Drosophila melanogaster: one gene and its partner. The protein of the gene in region 1 purifies or fractionates together with the protein of each later gene. This does not show direct contact. Each region holds a gene or a part of one and is shown on either strand. Other genes may lie near its edges.

Region 1 (9,447 bases):
TCGTTGTAACTATATGTATTACGTATGTTTGTATATTATGTAAATGTTCCTTGTAGACGTGATTGAGAAGATAATTGTGTAGGAATAATTTTTGAAGTGTTATCATTGTGTGTATAGTTTATGTTACTTTTTGGTGTACGATTAGAAATTCATATTTGCTTCTATTTGCTTGTTATTTAATAATTAGCGAAATCAAAATAATATGTAACAAGCTTTTAATGATTTGTAAAAGAAAACCAGATATAATAACTATGATACACATATTGTATTTAATGTATTGTAAAATATTGACTCTATTTGTATGAAATACATATGTATTACAAAGTATTCATATTCACATTTTAAAAACTGTTTTCAATTAACCATATCCAACTGACCCCATTGGCAGTGGCGATCAATCGGTAAGGTGTGTTAGCATATTTAAGGTATTGTACCTCTAAGACATACGCTATGTACATCGAATATTGGTACTATAGCAGCATTGCAAACTACGTAAAGACTCGGCCCCATTCAGCATTGAATTTGTACATTTCGACATTATGTAATTGTTAATTTGTACTATATACAGAGATGTTAAAAACGAAAGGTTTTAAAGCTATATCGGCTCGCTTTTTATTTCTTTTTTCACTTTTTTCGTCTTTGTAGTGTCACCGTTTTCCCCATTCTTGCGTTTTGTTGAAGTTTTCTTTCTCGGCGTGAATTCAGGTTCTTTCTTAATTTCTGTTATAAGAGCATCTAACATCTCATCTGGGTCCTCTTTCTTGACTTCTTTCTCCTCCGGTGGGGGACTGCCAAACTTAATGGATTTGTTCTGAAGCACAAAATGTGTGGGGGTATAATTAGATATGTTTAAATCAGGTTTCAAAACGCTATCAAATCTATTTGTTTTTTAATTAGGTAGTGCCCTACCTTTGGAGCTTCGCCATTCTCTAGCAATAGTTCTCCCTCGATGTAAGGCATCAAGTTGCTGATATCGAAGTTTTTTATGCGGATCTTGATCTCCTGGTCCATGGCGATGTCCTCGCGACTTGCACTCTGGTTTGTGAAACGTATGGAGGTGTTGAAGACCCGGTAAATGACGGCGCTGACATGGTGCCTGGAGATGTGTCGCACCACGCCGCTCAGAATGGCGCCCGCCTTCGGTCGGAAGACATAAAAGTCCGCATTTATGACCAGATGCATGGTGGGATCGTCTGCGCGTAGACCCGCCGTTTGACCGAGCACCTTGATGTTCTTGATTCCGAGGACGATCCCGTCGAGCCCCGAGTCATAGAATCCCACCTTGGTACGGATAAGGAGCTCGTGGAGCGCGTGCTTGAAATTGGCCATGCCGTACGGGCCCATTGCTAGGTGCATGTCCGTGGTGATGCAACGCACGCATGACTCCGGGCTGCTGGCATAGTTTTCCAGCTCCTTGACCGAAAATTTAATGTATTTCTGCAGTATCTTGGCCATTGCGAGATCTTAAACTATTAAAACTATTGGTTCGAATCGACCACATGAATTACATCTGACGATCTGGCATCCCCGCAGGTGCTACAAGAAATGCAATTTTAGCGGTTTTCCGCCAAATTGTACACCCTTTGGATGAGTAAAAAATGGTTAGATAAATCGTTGAACTATTAATATTTACAACTTTTTAGGATAATTATTAGTCACTTTATTAAATTTAATGCCAATACTAATGGCATACATTTTGTATTTTTTATATGTTTTGGTATTTTTTCTCCCCGCCATTTGTACGGTCCCATTGATCGGAGCATGCTTGTGGTATAGGTGAAGAAAACGAGGAAAGCAGAGTTTGACCAAATATAAGAAAAATAGAGCCTAAACCGAAGATATAATGGGAGTTCCAGCATTCTTTCGCTGGCTGAGCCGGAAGTATCCATCCGTGATAATAGAATGCAATGAAAACAAGCAGGTGGACGCGGACACCGGTCGAAACATCTACGAGGACCCCACCTTGCCGAATCCAAATGGGATAGAGTTTGACAATCTGTACCTGGACATGAACGGCATCATCCATCCGTGCACGCATCCGGAGGACAAGCCGGCGCCGAAGAACGAGGACGAGATGATGGTGGCCATCTTCGAATGCATCGACCGTCTGTTCGGTATTGTACGTCCTCGAAAACTGCTCTATATGGCCATCGATGGCGTTGCTCCACGAGCCAAGATGAATCAGCAGCGATCTCGTCGCTTCCGAGCGGCCAAGGAAACCACCGAAAAGCGGCTGGAGATAGCACGGATCCGCGAGGAGCTGCTGAGCCGCGGCTGCAAGCTGCCACCGGAGAAGGAGAAGGGTGAACACTTTGACTCCAACTGCATCACGCCGGGCACCCCGTTCATGGACCGACTGAGCAAGTGTTTGCACTACTTTGTTCATGATCGTCAAAACAATAACCCGGCCTGGAAGGGCATCAAGGTGATCCTGTCGGACGCCAATGTGCCCGGTGAGGGTGAGCACAAGATCATGGATTACATTCGCAAGCAGCGTGCCCAGCCTGATCACGATCCCAACACGCAGCACGTCTTGTGCGGAGCCGACGCCGATCTCATCATGTTGGGTCTGGCCACGCACGAGCCCAACTTCACAATCATTCGGGAGGAGTTCCTGCCGAATAAGCCGCGTCCCTGCGACATCTGCAACGGATTTGGCCACGAGATGGACAAGTGTGTCGGACTCGGAGCGACTGCGCCAACTAGCGCCAATTTTAAGCCCGATGTGCCCATAGGCGCCGAGGTAAAGTTCATCTTTGTGCGGCTGAGTGTGCTACGCGAGTACCTAAAGCAGACTCTTGAGATGCCGAATCTGCCATTTGAGTACAGTTTCGAGCGCGCGTTGGACGACTGGGTGTTCATGTGCTTCTTTGTGGGCAATGATTTTCTGCCCCACCTGCCTAGCCTGGAGATTCGCGAGGGTGCAGTAGATCGATTGGTGGAGTTATACAAGAAGTGCGTTTACAAGACAAGGGGCTATCTCACCGACTCGGGAGATGTAAATCTTGACCGGGTGCAGCTGATTATGACCGACTTGGGCAATGCCGAGGACCAGATCTTCAAGAGCCGACAGCGACGCGAGGAGCAGTTCAAGGCCAGGGACAAGGCGCGCAAGAGGCAGGAAAGGAATCAGGACCACGGATCCTTGAATCAGTCTGCTTTTGGCGCCAGCGCCGTGGGTCCAAACAGCCAGCAAAGGAGCGTCGGCAACTACAAGGAGGAGGCCGCGGCACTTCGTAATAGAAAACGGACGAGTGACATGGCCAATTTGGATGACGAAGATGAGGAGGAGAATAACGACGAGGTGCGATTGTGGGAGGATGGCTTCAAGGACCGCTACTACGAATCCAAGTTTGACGTGGCACCGGGTAACCAGCAGTTCCGATACGCTGTAGCCCTGCAGTATGTCCGAGGATTGTGCTGGGTTCTTAAGTACTACTATCAGGGCTGTGCCTCCTGGAACTGGTACTTCCCATACCATTATGCACCCTTCGCATCGGATTTTGTCAACATCCAGGGACTGTCCACGATGTTCGAAAAGGGCACAAAGCCGTTTAATCCGCTCGAGCAACTGATGGGCGTCTTTCCGGCAGCCAGTAGTTCACACGTGCCCGAGCCGTGGGCCAAGCTCATGTCCGATCCGGAGTCACCGATCATTGACTTCTATCCGGAGGACTTTAAGATCGATCTGAATGGCAAGAAGTTCGCCTGGCAGGGAGTGGCTCTGCTGCCGTTCGTCGATGAGAAGCGTCTCTTCAAGGCTTTGGTTCCCTACTATGATCAACTTACTGGAGAGGAGGTGAAGCGAAACAAGCGTGGAGACAATTACCTGTACATCAGCAATCAGAGTCCGCACTACAAAAAGGTGAAGAAAATCAGCGAAAAGGATGATGAGAGCGTTTGCAAAGCCATCTCATTTGACGGTATGCGCGGCACTTTGGGAAAAACCGAACTAAACACTGCCATCAGCGGCGTTCTTAAGTCGCCGATTTCCGGGCTATCGGACATTAATGACAATATAACCGTGACGACCACGTTCAGGGATCCGGAATACGATGAAGACTACATTTTCGAAGCGAAGCGCCTCGAAAACGCCGTAGATCCGCCACAGGTGCTGCCAAATGAGCAGTCTGGTAACAAGCATCGTCCCGTCATCGGTTTTAATAGCCACTTGACCAGGGCCTACGTTCCGGATAGTGGTCACCGCATGCTGAACGCTGGCATAAGGAACCAACAGGGTGGCGGTGGCAATGGAGGTGGAGGAGGAGGCTACGGGCAAGGAGGCGGCTACGGCCAGGGAATAGGCGGAAACCAAGGACAGAGCTATCAGAACAATAGCCGAAACTATAACTACAACTACAACAATAACTACAATCAGCACCAGGGTGGCGGCTATCAAAACAACTACAATAACCGACAGCAGCAGCAATATGGCCACAATCAGAGATTCAACCAGGACAATTCGAATCAGCAGCAGCGCAACTTTAACAACTATAATGGTCCAAGGAACAACAACTACCAGCAACAAGGCGGCAGCAGGCAACAGAATCAGAATTATAGACGGTTTTAGGTGTATCATACAAACAATATAATATGTAGCGCATAACAAAAGTGTAATCCATATTAATTTACATTATTTTTTAATGAAGAAAATATACTGATTAAGGATTTCCAAACAAACTCATGCCAAGTTCTGAGTTTGTTCTTTAAATGAAATACCCATTGCATTTCTATCAAAGCAGCTTACAGCCAACATCTAGTCTTAGTGCCTCAAAGAAAATAAGTCAAATTACAATAATGATCATTTCTCTTTCCATTGATTGCGTAAAAAAAGCAAACTAGCTGGATAATACAAAAAAATGAGACGATTGTTATTTTCAGATAAGGAAAATGGAACATAATTTGACAGGAAATTGGATAATATCAAAACAATTTCTAGTGGAGTAAACAATTGAATTTAAGAAAAACTTCGCAAACATTTTGTTTTAAATCCGGAGTCATAATAAATCCAGTAGTTTTTATGGAATAGCATTCGCTATATTTAACGAATGGAATGTTATTATTTCGATTTCCATGTAACATAATAAATATTTTAATTTCGAAAACAATACTCATTACAACTATGCGAGAATCTTAAAGTTTACAAGGGGCTTTTCTTAAAACGATTGTGCTTTCTTAACAGGGAAAAGTTCACTGAGCTTGAAAAATATATAGATTATATTTACGAATGCTTCAAAATCCATGAGCTTAAACGAAAGCGAATAGTTAGAAATATGTATCGATTATATGAATACGCTTAAAAGGTAACACAATGTGAGCTTAGTTCACGTTCGATTCGGAAGAGTTTAGCTATCGGTTCGGCATCTGTTGCGAGCTTATCAGATATTGGTGATAACGTTCTTGTTGCGATCGGATATGCTGTCGAACTTGCCATGGCTGGAGAATGGCGTGCGCATGCGTCGCGTGAAGCTGCGAAGGCAACGCTGTCCATCCAGACTGTCCGGATTGTTAGTCACCGCAAGAAGATTGACTAAAATGAGTTGCAGAAACGTTAGAAATTGTAAACATCCAGATAACCAACCACCTTAAAGTTTAAGTTGTTATACAACTATTTATCTTATCTTACCTCGTTGCTCGAGCAGTTTAATCTGTTTTTTGGCCTCTCTCAGCTTGTTCATCAGTATCTCGTTCTTGCGCTTCTCCACGGTCAGCTCCAGGCCGAGCTGCAGCTTGCTCTTGGAGTCAACAGCACTCAGAATTCTGCAAATTAAACGAACATTATATGTATTTAGTGTGAGCACATTTATCTTAAATGCAACTAAATATGATTGTCGCTTATACTGTCGACTCAATTTACTTACGGATGACTGAATATAGACTGCGAAGTGGGCCTCTTGTCGGGATAAGGATGCATCATCTGGGCTATGAGCTCGTTAAAATCCCTGCTCAGGCTCGGCAGAATCGGCACCTTGCCATCTCGCAAGTTGTGCCATTCGGGTCCATTTTTAGGCAGCGGACCACCGCCGGCCGCCTCGAACAGCGTGATGCCCAGGGAAAATATGTCGGCCTTGAAGAGATTCGAATAATCCTCGTGAAGGATCTCCTTGGGCAGGTAACGACAGTCTCCCTCCTCGACGTAGGGTTCCTTAACGGAGGTCACGTGTCCCAGGTCGCCGATCTTGTACGTAACCAGATTCTCTGAATGGCGCAGTTCTTCATAGACGCTGTCCATGCCATCGTCATCTTTGGTCTGCTGCGGCTGCACCTCCACCAGCTTGTGTGCATTGGGATTCATGGTGGAGAATATGTTTTCGGGCTTCAGATCCATGTGCACCAGGTCATTTGAATGAATATAGCGTAGGCCCTCTATCACATGCATGAGAACAATCTTTAGCTCTGCCTCACCCAAACAATGATCTTGGATGCGCGCGTGCAAGCTGCCACCATCGCAGAATTCATTCTGTATCAGCATATGATCGTCCTCCGCCCACGCGGAATAGTATCTAACCACGTTATCGTGCTTGCCCAATACAGCATGGGCCCAGACCTCGTTCAGGGCTCTCTTTCTGCAAGCAAATAGATTGTTAAACGACGCTCGTTGCAATAACTAATGAATACTCACTCGAAAGAACTGCCTGCCACCGGCTTCTTACTCTTTTTAATCGCATATATGCAGCCATCTAGTCGATTGACGCATTGGAACACCACACCGAACTCGCCAACGCCGATTACGTTGACTTGCATGAACTCCCGCTTGAAGCGACTGATGTTCGTGTCGTGCAGGGCCAGCCGCTTGGGTGCCTGCTGGTGGATTTCGCGCATCGAGTCGCCCGCCTCCTCCGTCACATCGTCGTCGCAGGCATCACTGAGCAAATACTTTTGCATAGCATTCACGTTCAGGTTGAGGTTTTCGCGTCCGAATTGCGTGCGACAGCGCTTCTTATTGTGAGCCATGAGGCCTAAAAATAAAAAAAATGATTATTAGATTGCTAATAAGACTAAGCTGGGATGGGTTAAAGTGGAGTGCAAATTAAAGCAACGAACTGGAAATTGATACCTTTATTTAATTAAAATATCAAAAGCGAGAAACGTTTTAAACTTACTATCTGGCGTGAAGGGGTTCACATTTGCCGTGTCCTGGGTGGGCAGTTTGCGGTTGTGCAGTGGCAGAGATCGCGGGCGCTCTGACAGGCGGAAGAGGTCGTCGCTGCGCCTGGAGGCATTCACTGCCGCTGCTGCCGCCGACAGATGGTTGCTGCACTGCGTCGTCGACTTCTGCAGGATGGTCTTTGGAGTGGCCGGTGTGCTAAAGAGTCGCAGGGCCCGCACCTTTTGGCATGGCGGCGACATGGACACGTCCCCGTCGCCGCCTTCTTTGCCTATCTTACTGTCCAGCTGCTGCTCCTCACCGGAGGATAGCTTCGGCCGCTGCTGAAGGGGATGCTGCGGACTCGCTCCCTCGGGCGTGTCCTTGTCAAAGTCATCATCGGCGAAGCGGAGCTTGCGCGGATTGAAGACCTGCGGCGATGGCGAACGCGATCTCAGTTCGACGCTTGAATCGAGTGAGGTGACGCTCATCTCGTGCTCCGACTGGCGGAATGCCATTGTTGCTGTAGCTGTCCAGCTGACCACGTTGAAAGACGATTCTGTTCGTTATTTCTGATTTCAGAACTATTTGTATGGAAGCCGGCGGCAGTAAAGTAAAGGCAATAGTTAAAAAAAATGCAAAACAAAACACAAAACAAAATTTAACTGGAGGAATGCTAGTCTAATAATGTGGCCGTACCCGATGCGCAATAAAATACCAGCTCTGACTGAAAAAATACTAAGTAACTGGAAGTGCAGAGTTACCAAACAAACAAAATACTAAACATCTGGCAAAAATACCAATTTAAATAATGCGCACCTACTTCTAAACTGAGTGACCAGACTTGTTCAAGACCGCATAAAGCCCGCCAAATTCAAATGGAAAACAACTAATTTTGGCATTTAATTTATTGATTGAATATCTGTATTTTAGTGTTCAGCGCATTTGCTACATAATTCAAACACACATCTCAAGAATCCATACATATGTATTTTTTTAATACTTAACTATGACATCAATGTATGAATAATTATTATGCACTGTTGCAATACTTAATTATTACGAATATAGAAACACATCATACAGAGATTGGAGTCAAATAATCAAGTTGTTGTGTTGCATAAATTGAAAATTGTGTAAAATTGACATGAAAATGGTGGCGATGCTTCGTCCTCTGCACATTCGAGTATAATTCCAGGGTAAGCAAAATAAAATCCAAGGCAAATCAATTTACATAGCAATCCTGACTAGATCGTTAATCTGCGGCTGCCGATACATTTCTATATCTTAAATTTCCTTCCGTCAAATGATTTTCCGAAGCGCTCTCCTTTGTTCTGCGTGTGCTTGTATTTGTTGTTGTGTTGGAACATTAGAATACCTAAATATGCAAACTCGAGTTCCACTATAAATTAAAACCCTTAACTAATATGGTTTTGGACAACTAAAAACCTTAGATGGATACTGCATGAAAAAGTATTTGGGAATCTGTCTTGTTACACGTGAGGTTGTTTCTTTTGGGAATGAGGATTAGAGTCCAGTGCGTGGAGAGCCCATCTCGCCGGATTCATCGGGGGGTTGCAGCTCCGGCCCTCATCATCGCATGTCGGGCTCCGTCTGCATCCGTTCGCTGTCGCTAGTCCCTTGAAACGGATCGTGAGGCGGACGAGTCACCACGACGCCTGGGCGGCGATCCACGGCGCACCGCTGGCGACGCCGATCGAGATCGGGAACGCGACCGCGGCGATCCCCTAACCCGGTCATCGTCCTCATCCTCATAGCGCCGTTTTGGCGGCGGCGGTGAATCTACCGCTCCACTGCCGTTGCGCTCGTGGTCGCTGTACCTCGACGCCGATCCGTTCTCGTCCCGTCCGTTCGAGCGGCCGGAGCGACGGCCCACCGAGCCGGCGGAGCGACTGCGGGATCGAGTTCCGGACTTGGAGCGAGTGCGCCTGCGTCGCGATGTGCTCCGAGATCTGCTGAATGAGTTGCTTCTGGAAATGAAATGGGATAAATCGTCGTGATTAGCTATCAGGCTTTTCAAAAAACGTAACAATTTAAGCTACCTTATATATGTATATACTAATATACTAATACATTTAAATATATTATAGTGTGCTATATTATTTGAAACATTGTAAGTATCAAAACTAGCTTTTAGCAGATTAAGTTTTAACAGCTTATTGAATAAAACACAAGACAGTATAATATTCTAGAACCTCTCCCAGTTTTAATTCTGCATTTCACATAAAGATCACATGTATAATATAGCTTGCTCAATGCTTGCCGCCCTTCTTTTTGTAGTGCTTGTGGCCGTGCTTCTTGGAGCCCTTCTCGCCGTGCTCCTTCTTCTCCTCGAAGCT
Region 2 (7,739 bases), on another chromosome or scaffold:
TGCCGATGTACGAGATGGTCGTGTCCCCGCCCTGGTCACACAGACCCATCAGCAGCGAGAAATTCGTGCTGGTCCGTCCAATGCGATCCACTTTGCTTAGCAGCGCCTGGTTGAGATTACAGATCGTGATCGCCGGAAATGGCATGTTGCTGGTCAGCTTTTGCTTGGCACTGGTCGAAATGATTATGGGCGAAGCACTCCACTTTACGTACACGTTGGATATGAAGAACACGGAAAGGATCACCACCAGCACAAAGGCAAGACCAAAAAAGATGCTGAAAGGCGATATAAAATATGAATTGTAAGTTCGTGGCATTGCTCGTACTTGTCTATATATAAAGTAATGCCTCTTTTAGTGTCCGCGATCTCTGCGATAGGCTGATCGATTCGGCTACCTTGCTTACGTACCGTTCCGGAATGGTGATGCTCTCTTCGGCGATGTACTTTAATCCATGGAGGGTGCTGTTCTTGAGATAGTAGACCACACTCCTCTTAATGGCCGCCCTGCTACAGATGGTATTCTCATCGTCATCCGACTCGGAGTCCTTTTTGCACCCGGAGGAGCCACTTTGGCGCCGCCTGCTTTCCGTCAACGTCCTCATAATGCACTACGTCCGCACTTCTTTGAATCTCCGCTATTTATAGGTCACTTTCTGACTGCACTTTTAGGTGCAATTCCATGGCGGTCATCAGCTTTAATCATATTGAACCAAGGCAAACACGGTCGTCCATTTGCAGTGATAACTGCCAAATTGATTTTAGCCACCCCCTTGCCATCCTCCACGTATTTTGAAAATCAAGTGGATGGCCAGAAAATATGATTACATCGTGGCAAATAAACTTTACACCTGAAAGTAAACATAGATACACGCACGCTTTTCAATAAAGATATTCTAGATATTGTAATACACACAGGTATTGAAAGGGATTTATTTAAGCAGCAGCTTTGTACTAAAAGCAATAATAATTTTTCACAGAAATTTACCATTTAGCTGAACGCCATTAAAATTGCGATCAATTTAATTGACTTGCAGTAAACACAAATGAAAAGTATGAAAAGCTGCTAGAAACCACAAGCATATATACATTAAACTAAATTGGCCAGGATTTTTATTCACTTCCAAATGTTCCAGCAAATAATAACGCAACAATTTCAAAAATCAAGGAAGATAAATTCATTTAATAGGCATCTTTCGTTAGCCAGTTAAGTACTTCATAAATAATCTCCATCCGCATGCGGCATTTTTGCCACTCAACCATTTACATTTGCGTACTAATTGCATAGATTTTTGGCTGGAGGTTATATGAGGTTACTTTTCAAATTATACAATTTCAATATTAATATTCAGTAAAAATTCAAAATACAATACCAAAATGTATCTAAGAGATCCCTATTTCTATATTTACATACTCCATTAATACATTTTAATCTACTTAGAAAAGTTCGTTTCAATTTTCAGAGACTTTCTTCATGCAATATGCACGATAAATAAAATAAATGTTTTAAACTTTCATATTTTAGAACCTTTTCAGTGTTCAAGTTAAAAAGTAGTTGAAATACCTTTCACTCTATCATAGAATTCTTCATCTCCATTGCTAGCTAAGCGCTTTCTATACATTTGTCCCTTCTAATTCGGATTGAACTGGAAGAAGTCCACGTTGAGATCGAGAATAGCCTCTGTGTTGGGCGTTTCCTTCATGGTCAGGGCCTCCACGGCATTATCGCTGGCATGATCGTAGCCATGGTTCACAGTCGGAGGAGCAGTTGCCACTGGCGGCTGCATAAGATCGCTGACGTTTCTAAGCAGACTCTCCTCGGAAGGCGGATGAAGTTGACCGCCCGCCGATAGATTGAGACGCTGTGCAGCCTCGTCTGTGAGCGGATCGTCCAGCGACATGCTCAACTCTGCGTAGACCACCAGATTGCGGGCTCCTTCACTACCGCTGCCGGCAACCAAGGCCGCTCCCTCTGATTCCGGCATCGGTGCCAGCGGCGACTCCATGGCGGACATATCCAACGCATACTGACCCTCGGGTATGCCCAAAACTCGTGCAATTCGTGCATTTACAAAATGCAGTCCAGAGGTATTCCGTATAAGCCGTTGGCTGCGCAATTGCAGCTGCTCCACAAAGTCGTTAAGTTCGTTAAGAAAGAGATCAGAGCGCTGTTCCTCGCTGAGATGGGAATGCCGCTGCAGTTGGGCGGTCAGAAGGCCGAACAGCGACGGCGTGGAGGGAGGATGAACCGTTGATGGTACTGTAGCTACAGCTACAGGTGGTGTCTGCTCGCCCGGACGCGGCATGTGCTCTGGGAATTTGACAAAGTGACGCTGCAGACGGCGTCCCAAAAAGATCTTTCCACAGCCGGGACAAACGGCATTTTTGGGCACGGCTCGTTGGATGGTTGTCGTTGTGGTCGGTTCCTGGCTTATACTGACGCTGCTGCTGACACTCGTGCTTTTCGGCGCTGCCATGGGTGCCCGGTAGTCCTTGTCCCGCAAGTCGGCCACCAGCATCTCAAGCATGCGGGCAGAACTTGGCTCAACCGCTGAGCCACTGGTCACGGGAGCGGGCTGTGGCATCAAGCTGCGCACCTGGCGACCGGATCTAGTGCGATGGGTGTCGGGAGCAGGTTTTTGCTCCGCTAGTGTTGGTTTCTTCGCCACAGGAGCGGTGGCAACCGAACAGGCTCTTTTCGATGGTCTACCCACTTTGGCAGGCGGATTCTGGGCATTTTTCTCTATCGCCGGGCGAATCCCCATGACGGCGGGATCCGGACAGCGGTAAATCGTTAATTGTTGCGTAGCCGCATCTGTGCGAATCACCTGATGGCGCTTTCTGCACAGGAATAAAAGATCACGGAACGTGATCAGAGAAGGTGAATGAAAGCTCCAAAAAATAGGGATTACTACCCACCGATCGATGACTATGTGATCGTTTTTGGACAGCTTGTGCAGACTGCAGGCCAGCTGGCCCAGAGTATCCTTAACGCGTAGCAAATCGCCTCCTGCAGCCGGCAAATCTTCGTCGGGCACGGAATTCTCTGCAGGATTCTTGGCGGCCTCCTGTCGATCCTGTACACCACCGGTCTTATCCGGCAGCACCTGCAGCTCGGCCAGGACCGAGGGATCCTCCAGGAGATGCTTCATTGGCCAGCCACGTTTGGTGGTTACAAATAAACATAAAAACAAATCTATGAACAAAACCGAATCGGATTTCGTGTTATTTTGGTATTTAGTATATTCTTAGATTCCCATGACTGTGGTCACACAAATTGTTTGATTTAAGCTTGCAAATACCTCGTGGTGAATAGACGTGCTCAAACAGAACATAAAGCAAATCTAAGAGTCAAAATTTTTTCTCTTCATCGAGGTACTATCATCATTAGCGTTCACTTATTACATTAAAATTAATAAGCACATCATCATCCCATTTTTAATACAATTTAGCTTTCGATACTAATCGCCTACACTTGATTCTCACCACAACCATTTCCCAAGGTCTTAGCCCATTTAGTTGCGCAGTGGAGAAAGAAAATAATCGATGATTCCTCGAAAAACATCGATGTTTGCGATTTTTCTCCACCTCTAATAAATATTAGCGTTATTTTCCGGATAATTATAGTTTGAACTTGGAAAATCCGCGGAGGCGAAGGAAATGGCCGAGAACGCGGGCTTCATCAGTGTGCCCTGGGGGCAGCACAAGCTGGGCGCGATGTACAATACGCCGTTTCCCTCGATAAGCCGCCCGAAGTGCATCGGTGTGTGCAGCATAAACGCTAGCCGGGAATTTGTGGACGACGCCAGCTGCGCCAGCTACTTGGCTGGCCAACCGTGGCCACCGCTGCCGTTCGATCTTAACGGGGGTATAGAGGATGTGATCCGTAAGCCCGTCGAGAACGGCAAACGGGATCTGGAAATTATGCTGACCTACATTAAGCAACACCAGAAGGAGCTGCTCCGTCAGAGTAGCTCCGATGCGAGAAATCTACGCCTGGACAGCGACTTTGTAACACTGCGCGGTATTTTGCGGCAGATAATGTGCCTGCAGTATGATAATCGCTCATTCCGCGTCAAGGCGACGCTCCTGAACGGCAACGTCTACATGTGCAAGGAGGAAACCCCAGAGCAGCAGCTGGAGAACGCGAACATGAGCAGGGCACAGCGGGTCATGTGCTCCTGGGGCTTCAAGTTCGAGCAGTACCTGACCAGTGCCCAGGCGCAGGGAAAACCGGTGACCAATGTGCCGGTCAACGAGGCAGAGGAGTTCATGGGCGTGTACCGCACGAACCTGGCCGGGATTTTGATGCTATACGGCGCCGAACTGGACTGTGTGGACAGCAAGGAGCCAGTGTGAGTGGTCCAGGGTTTAAATACTTATGAATGATTAATGTTCCATCCATTCATTATTTGTGTATACACTTACACGAATCCCATTAGTGACTTCAAAGATTGCAGAGTGCTCGACTCATTGAAATTCGTAGAGCTAAAGACCAGCGTCTTCAATATGAACCCTCACCAAATTCGCACCTTCAAATCGTTCAAGTCTGCCAACTGGTGGAGTCAGTCATTCCTGGTGGGCATCACTACGCTCTACGTGGGACTCCGCGACACCAAGGGCATGCTGCAGAGGATCGATGAGATCGATGTGGCAACACTGGCCCGCAACAAACCGTGGAGTGCATCGGCAATGGCTTGGTACCTGGAACAGTTTCTGCGCAATCTTAAGAAGCTGCTGGTGAACATTAACGATCCGTTTGCGGTGGTCCAGGTGACTTTTTTAAATAAGCACGCCAGCTACGAAGTGCTGCGCGGTCCGGAACATCAAATCCTGCCCAACTGGTATCGAGATTTGCTCAAAACGCGCTCCTAAGGCAATGCATAACATTTTCTAAACAACAGCAAGTCTGATTTTATAATGGGAATTAATCGTTTCTTTTTGTAATGCTTCCCGTACGATAACTACAACTTAGAACTACTGAATTGAGTGCATTAGTCACTTGAGGTCTTGGGTATCCAGGAGGGGCAAGACGCTGTCTTCCATTTTGGCACTGGTCGGGCCAAAACGTCGCCTGTCGGGCGGACTGACGGCGTTGGAGCTGCTCACTCCGAATGCTAGGGCTGCGCGCAGCGCTTTGCGATTTTCGATAACGCGGTCAAAGAAGCGGGACAGTTTCACGGCATCAGTGGTACCAGCGGCCAGGCTGCGACTGTTGCGGCAATTTAGCCAAATCTCCTCGGCTCCACACTTGTCGGCTGAGGGATATTGAAATAGATAAACGTTAGGAGGAAGCATTTGTTAAATGTCATATTAGGAGGCACCTATTCCGCCCGGCTTCTTCACCCCCATTTTGGGATGGCGCTTCTCGTCCAAGAGATCCAGCTTGGTGCCCATGACCAGGATAGGCGTTTGCGTGGCGCCCAGAAACTCCTCCATGTCGAAGAGAATGTGGCCGTCCGTTCCGAGGTTGTCCGTTGAGAAGCTGCTCAGCGGGCTGGGCGGCGATGGCGGCATGGAGGCTCCGTTCGATTTGTTCGTATCCTTGCCCTCCTTGTTGACGATCTCGTACAGCCAGTCGATTAGCTGCCTCTGCGACTTGGCGTTGGTAAGGTCGTGCACCAGAATGATTCCATCGATGCCCGCATAGAAGACGCTGCGCGTGTTCTTGTGGTTCAGCGATCCCCCAACATCGAACAGCTCCACGAAGTAGGGACACTCGCGAGCGGTGCCCTCCCTGAACGGATGCATCTTCACCTGGATGTTGCAGCCCACCGTCCAGCCGGGCCGGATGAGGGCTTCGTTGTGGGTGATCAGGTGCGTCAGGGAGGTCTTCCCCACACCTGGGTAAGGGGAATTCTCGAGAGGATTAGTGCCACGGAAAGCGTTTGACGTCCATTATTTACCCGAATCGCCAACCACAACAATTCGCACTCGATTATTCATCGCCATTTGATTGGAACTCATTTTATTGGTTGCAGCCACACTAGCATTCAATGACTACTACTAACTACTAAGAAATGTTAATAATGACACAAATTTCAGTGATAGTTAAACTACGATAATGTTATTTTCCAAAAAAACATTAGATTTGAACTTAAAATGTTTAATCATTTAATCAATTTAATAGTTTTTAAATCTGAATTTAAAAATGATGTTCAACACTTTTGTGTTGGTATATTTTCGAGGGTCGCTTGGCATATGCAGACTATCGCCCGCCGGTCACACTGGCTAAAGCTTAAAAAAACACTTGGAAAGATTCAGATAATAAACAAAATCAAATTTATCTGAACTTCGAATAAGATGGAATACGAAAGTGTGCTGATCGTGAAGCCGGAGGTGTTTATCTACAAAATACCACCCCGTGCGAGCAATCGTGGTTATAGGTAAGTCGACAAATCGGCTGGCAAACCAGGTGACTACTTTTTTTCGCCCCTTGCTTTTGGATTTTCTGCCATCAAAATTGAAAGTTCTTCGTGCATTTCAACGCCCACTCACTGCACATATAACTAAATATATATGTGCATATATCCACTGGGGGTGTGGGAATGCATTAATTATGTTTTTCTAAGAAAAAGTCAAGGTTAAAGGCAGCGCGACTTCTGCTGCTGAGGCTGTGAAGTTCAAATCCAATTGATTTTTTTTCCTGGAATTATTGTTGAACATTTTCACTTACACGTATCAGGGAGCCAAGAACAAAAACAAAAAAAAAAAAACAGATAAACACACAGAAAGAAACGGGGGGCAGCGAAAAAGCTTCGCTGGCGTGCGTGTAATTGTTGCTATTTGCAGCCACTCTCTTTGTTTTCCTTTTGTTGCTGTTCATTTCACAGTTAACTGCGCTCAGGTGGGCAAATAACACAAATTATCGGAATAACTCAAATATTGGGGGTATACCATAATTAAAAAGCTACTACGAACGACCCATTAATCGAATGCCAAGCGAATTAATCCACAAGAACCACATTCCACCGGTTTTTCCATTCCAAATTATGGCCTAAATATATCGTAATATCAATTATCTTACGAGATAGTTAATTCTTTCTGTATATATATATCATCTTGGGATCATAATATGCATGATTTCCTCACAAATCCTTTATCATCTTGATCTATTAACTTCTTACAACTACAACAAAAAATGGAAGTTCTTGCAGATAACATGGAAACTAAAAGCATTCTTAGACTAGAAACGCTAGATAAAGTCCATTTCGTTAGTTTTCTGTCAGATCTTTAGACCTAAATAATATATTGAACTTTCCTTATCATTGTGCGCATACAATTTTCGCCAGAAGAAGCGAGAACCATTCTAAGTGATTTATCCTATTCGCAGAGCGGGAGATTGGAACTTAAAGGAGCCCACCTGGACGGGCAGGATGCGACTGGTGGCCAAGGGCACCGCCGTTGTCCTCAAGCTGGAGGACAAGACCAGTGGTGCCCTGTTCGCCAACTGCCCCATCGACACATATCCCGGCGTGGCCATCGAGGCGGTTTCAGATAGCTCCCGCTATTTTGTCATCCGCGTGCAGGACGATAATGGGCGATCGGCATTTCTGGGCCTCGGATTCGGCGATCGATCCGATTCGTTCGATCTGAATGTTGCGCTGCAGGATCACTTCAAGTGGGTAAAGAACCAGGAGCAGATCGAGAAGGAGAAGACGGAGCCCAAGCAGGAGCTCGATCTGGGATTCAAGGAGGGCGAGACCATCAAGATCAACATGCGGATAACGGTGGGTGTAGCT

What was found.
Region 2: the proteins of Rat1 (region 1) and Rai1 purify together in Drosophila melanogaster (affinity purification with western blotting; one study listed by BioGRID). This does not show direct contact.

Annotation. Positions count from the first base shown.
Region 1 is NT_033779.5:6,906,323-6,915,769, forward strand, and holds Rat1 (Rat1 5'-3' exoribonuclease), read left to right. Parts: upstream 1-1,760; 5' UTR 1,761-1,843; coding exon 1,844-4,570; 3' UTR 4,571-5,101; downstream 5,102-9,447. Other genes in the region: Polr1F (RNA polymerase I subunit F), read right to left, coding at 596-811, 910-1,455; Wee1 kinase, read right to left, coding at 5,379-5,530, 5,627-5,760, 5,862-6,566, 6,623-6,959, 7,104-7,605; x16 splicing factor, read right to left, coding at 8,721-9,078; CG32829 (uncharacterized protein), read right to left, coding at 9,361-9,447. UniProt on the Drosophila melanogaster protein: A 5'-3' exoribonuclease. May promote the termination of transcription by RNA polymerase II and promote RNA degradation. Involved in turnover of piRNA precursors.
Region 2 is NC_004354.4:16,799,170-16,806,908, reverse strand, and holds Rai1 (Rat1 interacting protein 1), read left to right. Parts: upstream 1-3,564; 5' UTR 3,565-3,657; coding exon 3,658-4,352; intron 4,353-4,439; coding exon 4,440-4,872; 3' UTR 4,873-4,980; downstream 4,981-7,739. Other genes in the region: ppk28 (pickpocket 28), read right to left, coding at 1-275, 409-602; CG13005 (uncharacterized protein), read right to left, coding at 1,629-2,838, 2,917-3,149; CG4789 (uncharacterized protein), read right to left, coding at 4,996-5,255, 5,322-5,840, 5,904-5,949; CG9132 (uncharacterized protein), read left to right, coding at 6,301-6,383, 7,331-7,727. UniProt on the Drosophila melanogaster protein: Decapping enzyme for NAD-capped RNAs: specifically hydrolyzes the nicotinamide adenine dinucleotide (NAD) cap from a subset of RNAs by removing the entire NAD moiety from the 5'-end of an NAD-capped RNA.